2 linked regions of the Mus musculus genome follow. The protein of the gene in region 1 binds, or shares a complex with, the protein of each later gene. Links are inferred from orthologs where the notes say so. Each region holds a gene or a part of one and is shown in the gene's direction. Other genes may lie near its edges. The genes, in order: Fgfr2 and Fgf8.

The links.
Region 2: the proteins of Fgfr2 (region 1) and Fgf8 are in contact, whole or in part, in a crystal structure (PDB 2FDB), measured with the Homo sapiens proteins. The link is inferred for Mus musculus from reciprocal best matches to the Homo sapiens genes FGFR2 and FGF8. Residues at the interface, in NP_000132.3 of Homo sapiens: Glu160, Lys161, Glu163, Lys164, Leu166, His167, Ala168, Val169, Pro170, Asn173, Asp247, Val249, Arg251, Ser252, Ser282, Asp283, Ala284, Gln285, Pro286, His287, Ile288, Gln289, Ile291, His293, Leu309, Val311, Leu312, Lys313, Ala314, Ala315; in NP_149354.1 of Homo sapiens: His53, Val54, Gln57, Asp62, Leu64, Ser65, Arg66, Leu68, Ile69, Arg70, Tyr72, Tyr75, Arg77, Gly80, His82, Val106, Glu107, Thr108, Thr110, Phe111, Gly112, Ser113, Val115, Thr148, Glu149, Ile150, Val151, Leu152, Glu153, Asn154.

Annotation. Positions count from the first base shown.
Region 1 is NC_000073.6:130,193,677-130,197,481, reverse strand, and holds part of Fgfr2 (fibroblast growth factor receptor 2), read left to right. Parts: intron 1-1,107; coding exon 1,108-1,310; intron 1,311-3,805. UniProt on the Homo sapiens protein: Tyrosine-protein kinase that acts as a cell-surface receptor for fibroblast growth factors and plays an essential role in the regulation of cell proliferation, differentiation, migration and apoptosis, and in the regulation of embryonic development.
Region 2 is NC_000085.6:45,739,886-45,744,175, reverse strand, and holds the start of Fgf8 (fibroblast growth factor 8 isoform 2 precursor), read left to right. Parts: upstream 1-1,291; 5' UTR 1,292-1,491; coding exon 1,492-1,523; intron 1,524-1,623; coding exon 1,624-1,660; coding exon of another isoform or gene 1,661-1,852; intron 1,853-2,178; coding exon 2,179-2,265; intron 2,266-2,496; coding exon 2,497-2,677; intron 2,678-4,290. UniProt on the Homo sapiens protein: Plays an important role in the regulation of embryonic development, cell proliferation, cell differentiation and cell migration. Required for normal brain, eye, ear and limb development during embryogenesis.

The DNA of each region.
Region 1 (3,805 bases):
CCCGTTGCATCCACCTTCCCCTTTGGTTATGTTATGAGTCCGCTCTGTGAGTAGTTGGTCTTGAAACAGAGATGCCTCTCCTGTTGAGCTTGCTTGTACTTACAGTGCCACGCTCTCAGGTGCCTACCTGGCACTTCTTAACCAATTTGCCTGACAGCACTACCCCTTAAGGAGATGCAGCTTGAGAATAATCATGTTTGGAAATACACTGCTTGTAGATTGACCAGTTGAGGAAGAACCAATATAGTTGACAGAAGAATATGCTAAATTAATCACAGTTCTGCTCACATGCAGTACCATCATACATTTAAAGGTTCAGTAACAAGTCAGGATAACTGGATATACAAACATTTTATTGGTTCTTAAGTATTATATATATATATATATATATATATATATATATATATATATACATACATACATACATATCTACACATACACATACATATATATCATATATTATATATGTGACTATCTCAAGATTGATACATCTGTTTGTTTAACTGAATAAATATTCTGGACCATATGAAGGGACTTGCCAAAACATTTTGGGCCAGCCTACTAGTTGAGTGTGAGCCCTTTGGAGCTACCATCCTCTGGGGTCCTGTTGAACCTTCCCCTGGAGGCACCTCCCTAGCTAGCAAGCATCATCCCTGTCTCCTTAGAAGCAACAGTGGATGAGGTCCCTTTTAATAATTCTGTTTGGTTTATGTCGAGCCGCCATCATGACAGACAGTCCTCCTGTGGTGGGTGTCCTGGGTGTCCTGCTATGACCAGGGGCTTAGCAGAATGAGGCCTTGTAGTCCCCCATTACAGTCTGGTATCAGCTGCTCACTGGTGGCAGATGCCCATTGAGGCTGGAGAAGGCAGCTGCCTGGGCTGTAGTGATAAACCGAGGAACCCTTGGCTCTTTGTTAGCATTTGGAGAGGCCCAGGCAGGAGGCCCATGGCTGCTCTGCATCTGGGTATCTCTGTGCATTGACCTGTAGATAGGGAAGCCCTTGATGTCTTTGGCGTCATTCCTTGAAGTGTGCTTCGATACATCCCTCTGGTATCCTAACTCTGTGGCCTGCTTATTTGTCCCTCTCCCGCGGATCTGCAACCCAGCGCCTGTGAGAGAGAAGGAGATCACGGCTTCCCCAGATTATCTGGAGATAGCTATTTACTGCATAGGGGTCTTCTTAATCGCCTGCATGGTGGTGACAGTCATCTTTTGCCGAATGAAGACCACGACCAAGAAGCCAGACTTCAGCAGCCAGCCAGCTGTGCACAAGCTGACCAAGCGCATCCCCCTGCGGAGACAGGTAACAGAAAGTAGATAAAGAGTTTGAAGAAATTTACTCCCCTCCCCCACCCAGCCAGCTCTTGGATCTTCTTCCCTCTGATTTTCCCCCTAACTTCTGTGAGCTCCAGAACTGCAGGCAATTCTAATCTGCCACTGTGTGGAGGTTCAGTCAGCGGTTGGGACTAAAGAGCATTAAGTCACAATGCTGCTCTGGGCTTGGTAGGCTGGCTCTGGTTTTAAAGGACAAGAGTGTGAAGACTGGAGCTGCCCAGTGGGATGGGCAGAGGAGGCCATGCCCTCTGCGCCCCTCAAGCTCACGGCTCCTTTGGGAGAACAAGCATTTGGTCTGGCTCCATTGCTTCTGTATGAGGCCAGATGTTCGGGTTCAAGTTTTACCCTTCATAGGAAAGAGAGTTTAATTTTCTTTGATTTACTATTTTAAGTAGAGATCAGAAACAGAGGATGGAGGTATACCTGAACTAATGCTTGCATAAAAGTGGTCTGTGATGTCTTCTAAACTGGGTTTTGGCTGATTTTGTCTGGTTTTTAAAACGCTGTATGCGTATAGTTTATTGTTACAGGTTTGGCTAGGGATTCAGTGATAGGATGATTGTGTGTGTGTGTGTGTGTGTGTGTGTGTGTGTGTGTGTGTGTGTGTGTGTGTGTGTGTTTGTATTTAGGTTATAAGTACATGTGTGCAGGTGCCTGTGGAGACCAAAAGAGAGTGTCAGGTCCACTAGTGCTAGAGTTTATCAGCATAGGTGGTAGGAATTGAACTCTGGTCTTCTAGAAGTGCAGCAAGCACTCTTTAACCACTGAGCCAGTTCTCCAGCCCCCAGATACGATGATTGCTATGTAGAACAGGGAGAAAATTACCTTTAACCTTGAGCTTGATCTTTGATGGCTGGCTTTGGGGGAGGTAAGGCAATAGAACCTTCCCTGTGCCATAAAACAAAGCCCTTCAAAGGTGGATAAGGAAAAAATGCTTGACTTCTGTACTTGCTCCTGGATTCCAAGAGCCAGGCATGTGTGGGTGTAAATCTTTATGATAAGATTCGGAACTTGATTCTGATAAGATTGTCACTATTTTTTTTAAATTAGCAATGGAAATGAACAACCTGGCCTGTGCTATGGGGAGGTGCATCTTAGTGTTTGTTAAAACTGCATATTCATTAGTTTCAACCCTAGAAATTCTTATTTAGTACTTCTTGAATGGATCTGTAAGAGTCTGCATTTTAAACACTTTCTCGGGTGATACTGTGTAATACCTTAAGAATCTCTGGGTTCAACCCAACCCTGCCTTTCCTGGGCCCTTTCTGTGGACAAGGTGGGAACTAGCAGGTCAGTAGTGGCTTGGACACAGGGCCTTGGCTGTTCTCAACCTAGCTTCACACTACAGGCTGAGCAGGTCCTTGTCAACGTCCTTGAAGCCTCGTTTCCAACAGGTGTTTCTTGCAGAGGGTTAAGATATAATTTGGAGCATATGTCAGATGCAGCCTTTGGCCAGCTGTTGAATGTGGAGTCAAAAAGGCTCAGTTGGGTTCCTTTTAATCCTGAGAATGCTGTGCTACTTTGAGTGACACCACTGTCATTTGTGGGACCATAGAAGCTAGATGGTGCTGAAGTTAAAGTTGGTTGCCTGAATGAGTTGCTGGAAGAGTCCTTAATAAAACTCTTACCTGGCTAGATAGTGTTAAGGCTTCAGGCTGAATGGCCACTCCTTTGGCCACTCCTTTGGCTACTCCTTCACAGCCTCTCCTGATCTCTTAGCCCTGGGCCATTCTTAACATCTGGACTCTGGTCTAGGGAGTTTAAGTAAAGGGAGCAATGTCCTGTCTCATTTGTTTTTATAATAGAGAAAAGAAGTAAAATCCATAAGTTGAGGTAGATAGGCCATTGACCCTTAATTATTTCATCATTTAAAAAACTGATGTGTGTGTGTGTGTGTTTATACATGTGTGCTGGAGCTCTTGGAAAGCTGGAAGAGAGCACTGGATCCCTCAGAGCTGGAGGGCCGGTAGTTGTGAGCTCTCTGATGTGGTGCTGGGACTAGAACTCGGGTCCTCTGCAAGAGCAGCAAGCGCTCCTAATCACTGAGCCATCTATCTCTCCAGCCTGCATCACTTTTAAAGAAAACTCTTTCTATTTCTCCATTTTCCATTTCCATTTCCATCTTTTTACATTTATATATTACATTTATATATTTATGTAGCTTGGGCACGTGTGCGTTTGTGTGGGGGCATGCACATGGCATAGCAAGGTTAGTGAAGGTCCTTTTGAAATGGTGGCCAGGGGACAACTTACATGGGAGCCAGCACCTTTCTCTACCACGTGATTCCCAGGAATCAAACAGGTCAGGTTCAGTCAGGTCATCGTATCTGATGACCGATTTTGTTGACTCCATCGCTTTTAAAGAAAAAAAGAATTAACACCTATTACAGCGCTCTTCCTTTTGCTTCATGTGAAAAAGACAGAGGCCCTGGAGTTCCCAGGCACATGGATTCAGCATGTCTTCCTTTC
Region 2 (4,290 bases), on another chromosome or scaffold:
TTACTCCGTGTTTGCATTTGCAAGATGGGATGCATAAAAGGGGGGCGGCAGGCCGAACCGGATGGGGACTGACAAGGGCCTGCTTGCCTCTCTTTAGCCTACAAAGACTTTCTGGGGCCACCGCAAACCCCTAGTTCTACCCCGGAGGCACAGAGGATCAGTAGAGGGGAGGCTGTGGATGAAGGCAGAGCTGGGTGGTACATCCACGGAGCCACCTGGTCTTCAAAAATACCTGGCCTGGGAAATCTCTGTGCCTGCGGTAACAAAATAGTGGCTCAGGGTTCCCAGAAACCCTATGGAGAAAGCAATGGGGCGACGGGCTTGAAAAGGCTTACAGAAGTCTCTACCTTCTCACCAGCACCTCCCTCTTCCAAGTGACACAAGACACCAGGTACCTGCTCAAGGAAAACCTGGAACTCAGAAGGGGAAAGGCTAGGCAGCTTGGGTCCGTGTCCTGAATGTTGCTGAACGTAGTTATTTTTGCCCCTGCTAATTGCTCAGAAGCAGTGGCTGTGGGTCCTTCAGAGACCCCTGAGCTCTTACCACATAGACGCTTCAAGGTTTTTCTTAAGCTTTATAGACTAGTGCAGTTGGATGGACAGGAGCAAGGCTGAAGGTGATAATGGGGTGGCAAGGGGCATTTCTCCCTCCCAGAGCCTCTTTGGAGACTGTGAGACAGAAAACCAGCGGGGTTGGGTTTTTAGAAAGGTGAAGGCACCGGGTTCCAGTGGCGCCCAAGGGGACGCTCAGCACCGGGGCCCAGTTCACTGTTAGCTGCAGGCTCCCAAGAGGGGCGCGTGCGACCGCAGCACACATTAGGCGACCCAGAGACCTTCTAGGAGGCCAGAGATAAGCAGACCCGACCCTAAGCAGATCAACAGTCCTGCAGGACTCAAGTGTACGGGACCCCACTAAACATGTTGTCCCAGACGCCCCCCAATCCCTGGACGATCCCGCCCCCGGAACGCTGGAAGAGACAGGCAAGGGTAGTGGGAGGCGCCCACACCAGCCGCCCCCGCCCCTCCCGCGGGTCCCTAGACCCCTCCCCTGGGCCAGACCCCCCAATCCCTGCTCTGCCCGCCGCCCCGCCCCCGGCCGCCCCGCCCCCGCCCCGGGCGGCGACCCGGCCCCAGCGCCCAGCCGGGGGTGCGGGCTCCGGCCGCCCGCCCCGCGCTCCCCCCTCGCGGCCGGTGCGGCGCCCCCCGCCCCTGCCCTCCCCCTCCCTTCCCACCTCCCCACCCACCCCACAGGCCCGTTACCCTCCCGCCTGCTCGGGCTCCTGAGCAGCCAGCGGCCACCGGCTCCAGCAGCGGCTCAGAGGGGTTCGGCGCGCGCGGCGAGCACGACATTCCACGAGCCGCGTCGGGATAGCCGCTGGCCTCCCGCACCCCGACCTCCCTCAGCCTCCGCACCTTCGGCTTGTCCCCCCGCGGCCTCCAGTGGGACGGCGTGACCCCGCTCGGGCTCTCAGTGCTCCCGGGGCCGCGCGCCATGGGCAGCCCCCGCTCCGCGCTGAGCTGCCTGTGAGTACCGCGGTCGCCCCCGCGTCCCCGTCGGCCAGCGCCCGCCGAGCCCTCTCCGCTCACCCCGCGCCTCTTTCCTGCCCGCTTTTGTCTCCCACAGGCTGTTGCACTTGCTGGTTCTCTGCCTCCAAGCCCAGGTAAGGAGCGCTGCGCAGAAGCGGGGGCCGGGCGCGGGGAACCCAGCTGACACTCTCGGGCAGGGACACGAGGACCGACCCTTCGGCCAGCGCAGCAGGGCTGGAAAGAACTTTACAAATCCAGCCCCAAACTACCCCGAGGAGGGATCTAAGGAACAGAGAGACAGTGTCCTGCCTAAAGTCACACAGCGAGTGAGTGGAGAGACTAGAACCCAAGGGTCTTGAGCCCAGCGACTGGCCAGTTCGGGTGGATGGGAAGGCTACCTGTAGCCACACCTGGCCTCCTAGGAAGGCGGGAGCTGGAGTCAGCGGGTGTTCCTTGTCAAGGGTAGTTGGGATGTAGTTGCAGCGAATATCCTCGCCGCTGCTCTCTGGGGAGACCTGTGGCCGGTTTGGGCCAACGATCGTGTTAACCTAGGCCCTTTGCATTCTCAACATTTGCTCCGTAAATTTGTCTTTATAAATGTCACGGGTCGGGTAGCGTTGCCTCGCTACTTAAAAGCACCCTGCTCCTCTAGGAAGGCCCGGGCGGGGGGCCTGCGCTGGGCAGGGAGCCCACTTCCCTGCTCCGAGCTGGCCGGGAGCCCCAGGGTGTTTCCCAACAGGTGGGTCCAGACTCCCTCATTCCCGGGTTCATCCATCCATCCTGGGCTGGGTCTGCGCGACTTCCCCGAGGGGGTTGGTGGCCTGAGCCGGCATGTTGTGGGGATGCCCCCAGTCCCCGCTGGCTGCCTGGCGCGGCGGGAGGCGGGTACAAGGGCAATGGGGACCAACTCGGGGCCCCTGGGCGGAGTAGCGTTATAATGGCGTGCTGTGTATTTTTCAATTTCCTAAAGGTAACTGTTCAGTCCTCACCTAATTTTACACAGCATGTGAGGGAGCAGAGCCTGGTGACGGATCAGCTCAGCCGCCGCCTCATCCGGACCTACCAGCTCTACAGCCGCACCAGCGGGAAGCACGTGCAGGTCCTGGCCAACAAGCGCATCAACGCCATGGCAGAAGACGGAGACCCCTTCGGTAAGGTGCATTCCCGGACCCTGGAGAGGAGAGGTAGCTTGGACCTCGCCGCCCCTTGCCAGCCCCAGCTGCATCAGCCAGAAAGGCCTGCGGGCTCTCCACCTGAGAAGGGAAGGAGTTAAGACGAAAAGGTGCCTTGGGGTCAGCTGGAGAGAATAGTGGGGAAGGGACCCTGGGGAGGACGAGGCCAACAGGTGCCCTCTCTTCCCTGCTCCGCAAATGAATGAATCCAGGAGTCTCCCTTACAATCTTCACACACCTCTACCCGGCTGCAGGTGGAGGCAGAGGGTTCAGAGGAGAGGCCCAAATTTAAGGGGAGTTCTTGAAAGAGGATATGTCGCCAGGGCCCACAAAAGGAGAGTGGGAAAAAGAAAGTAGAGAAATCCCCCAGTTCGCCCAGTTTGAAAAAGGGACAGAACTGCTAACTGATCAGAAGGGTCAATTGCACAGGGAGACTCGGCCTGCAAGTTAGACTCCGGGCTCCACTGTGGATACCCCAGGGGACTGAGTCGGCTGGCGGCTTCCCGCAGGGCTGCTGAGTACAGGGAGCTACTGGGGCAGGGGCTGAGAACTGATTGATTTCTACAACATTCAATATTCTTGTCTTGAAATGGGGCCAATTTCCAGACTCCTTGGATGTACCACAAGGAAGCCAAACCCTCAGGGTGGCTGGTGTTGTTTTTAGAGAGTGGGATATTGTAAGTTTAAAAACCTTTAAATAATGACCAACTTAAGCGAGCATGAAAGGAGAAAGGAAAACTCTATTAAAATGTAATAAAAAGGTGAGGCATTTTAAGAGCTAAGAAGAAAAATGGAGAATGATATAAAACAGAAAAAGAACCAGGCGTTTTCTTTTTCAGATGTAGAGTTTGAAAGGAGTTGCAAGTCTGTAAATGTTAAAAAGAGAGAGAGAGAGAGGCTCAGGATTGTTCTCTGCGAATCTCTGGAGAGACCCCCGCGTCTGGCAGAGCGATTAAAACTATTCTTACTTTCACCTTTTTTAACGTTTCCTGAATACTTTCTCCTCTTCTCGAGCCAGTTTGGGGGATCGAGTATGTCTCGCTGCATTTTTTTTTCAGCATCGACATAGCTGACTTCCCTTCAAAGCTAGAGGAGGAGACATAATTTTCCTGGGATAAATCTGTCACTGGGGTGGAAGAATAGGTTCGAAAATGTTAAGCTTTCCAAAAGCCTGCTTGGGAAAGTCTCTGTAAACTACACGGCCAGGCTCCCCTGATCGATCCGAGGAGACCAGAGGGGGGGACTCTTTGGGTGGGGGTGGGGGCAGCCTGCCTGGTGGCCGAGCTCCCCCCGCTGGGCTGGCAGAGCTGGCCTTCAGGCCCTTTGTCCCTCCAAATTGGCTGCTTGCTGCCCTTCTCGGCTTCCCAACAAGAAAAAGGAAAGAATGCCGAGCTCCTCCAGAGTTTACTCTACTGGAGCAAATGGCCTAGCATCCTTGGGTTTTGGGGTGGGAAGGAGAAACTAGGCTGGCAGTGATGATCTTCAGGCATTAGCGGGGTCAGATGCCCACTTACTCTCTTCAGACCCAGAGGAGGCTCTCAGGATTCCTTGGTCTCTGCCTGAAGGGCAGAAATTTGAGTCTGGGGCTCCAA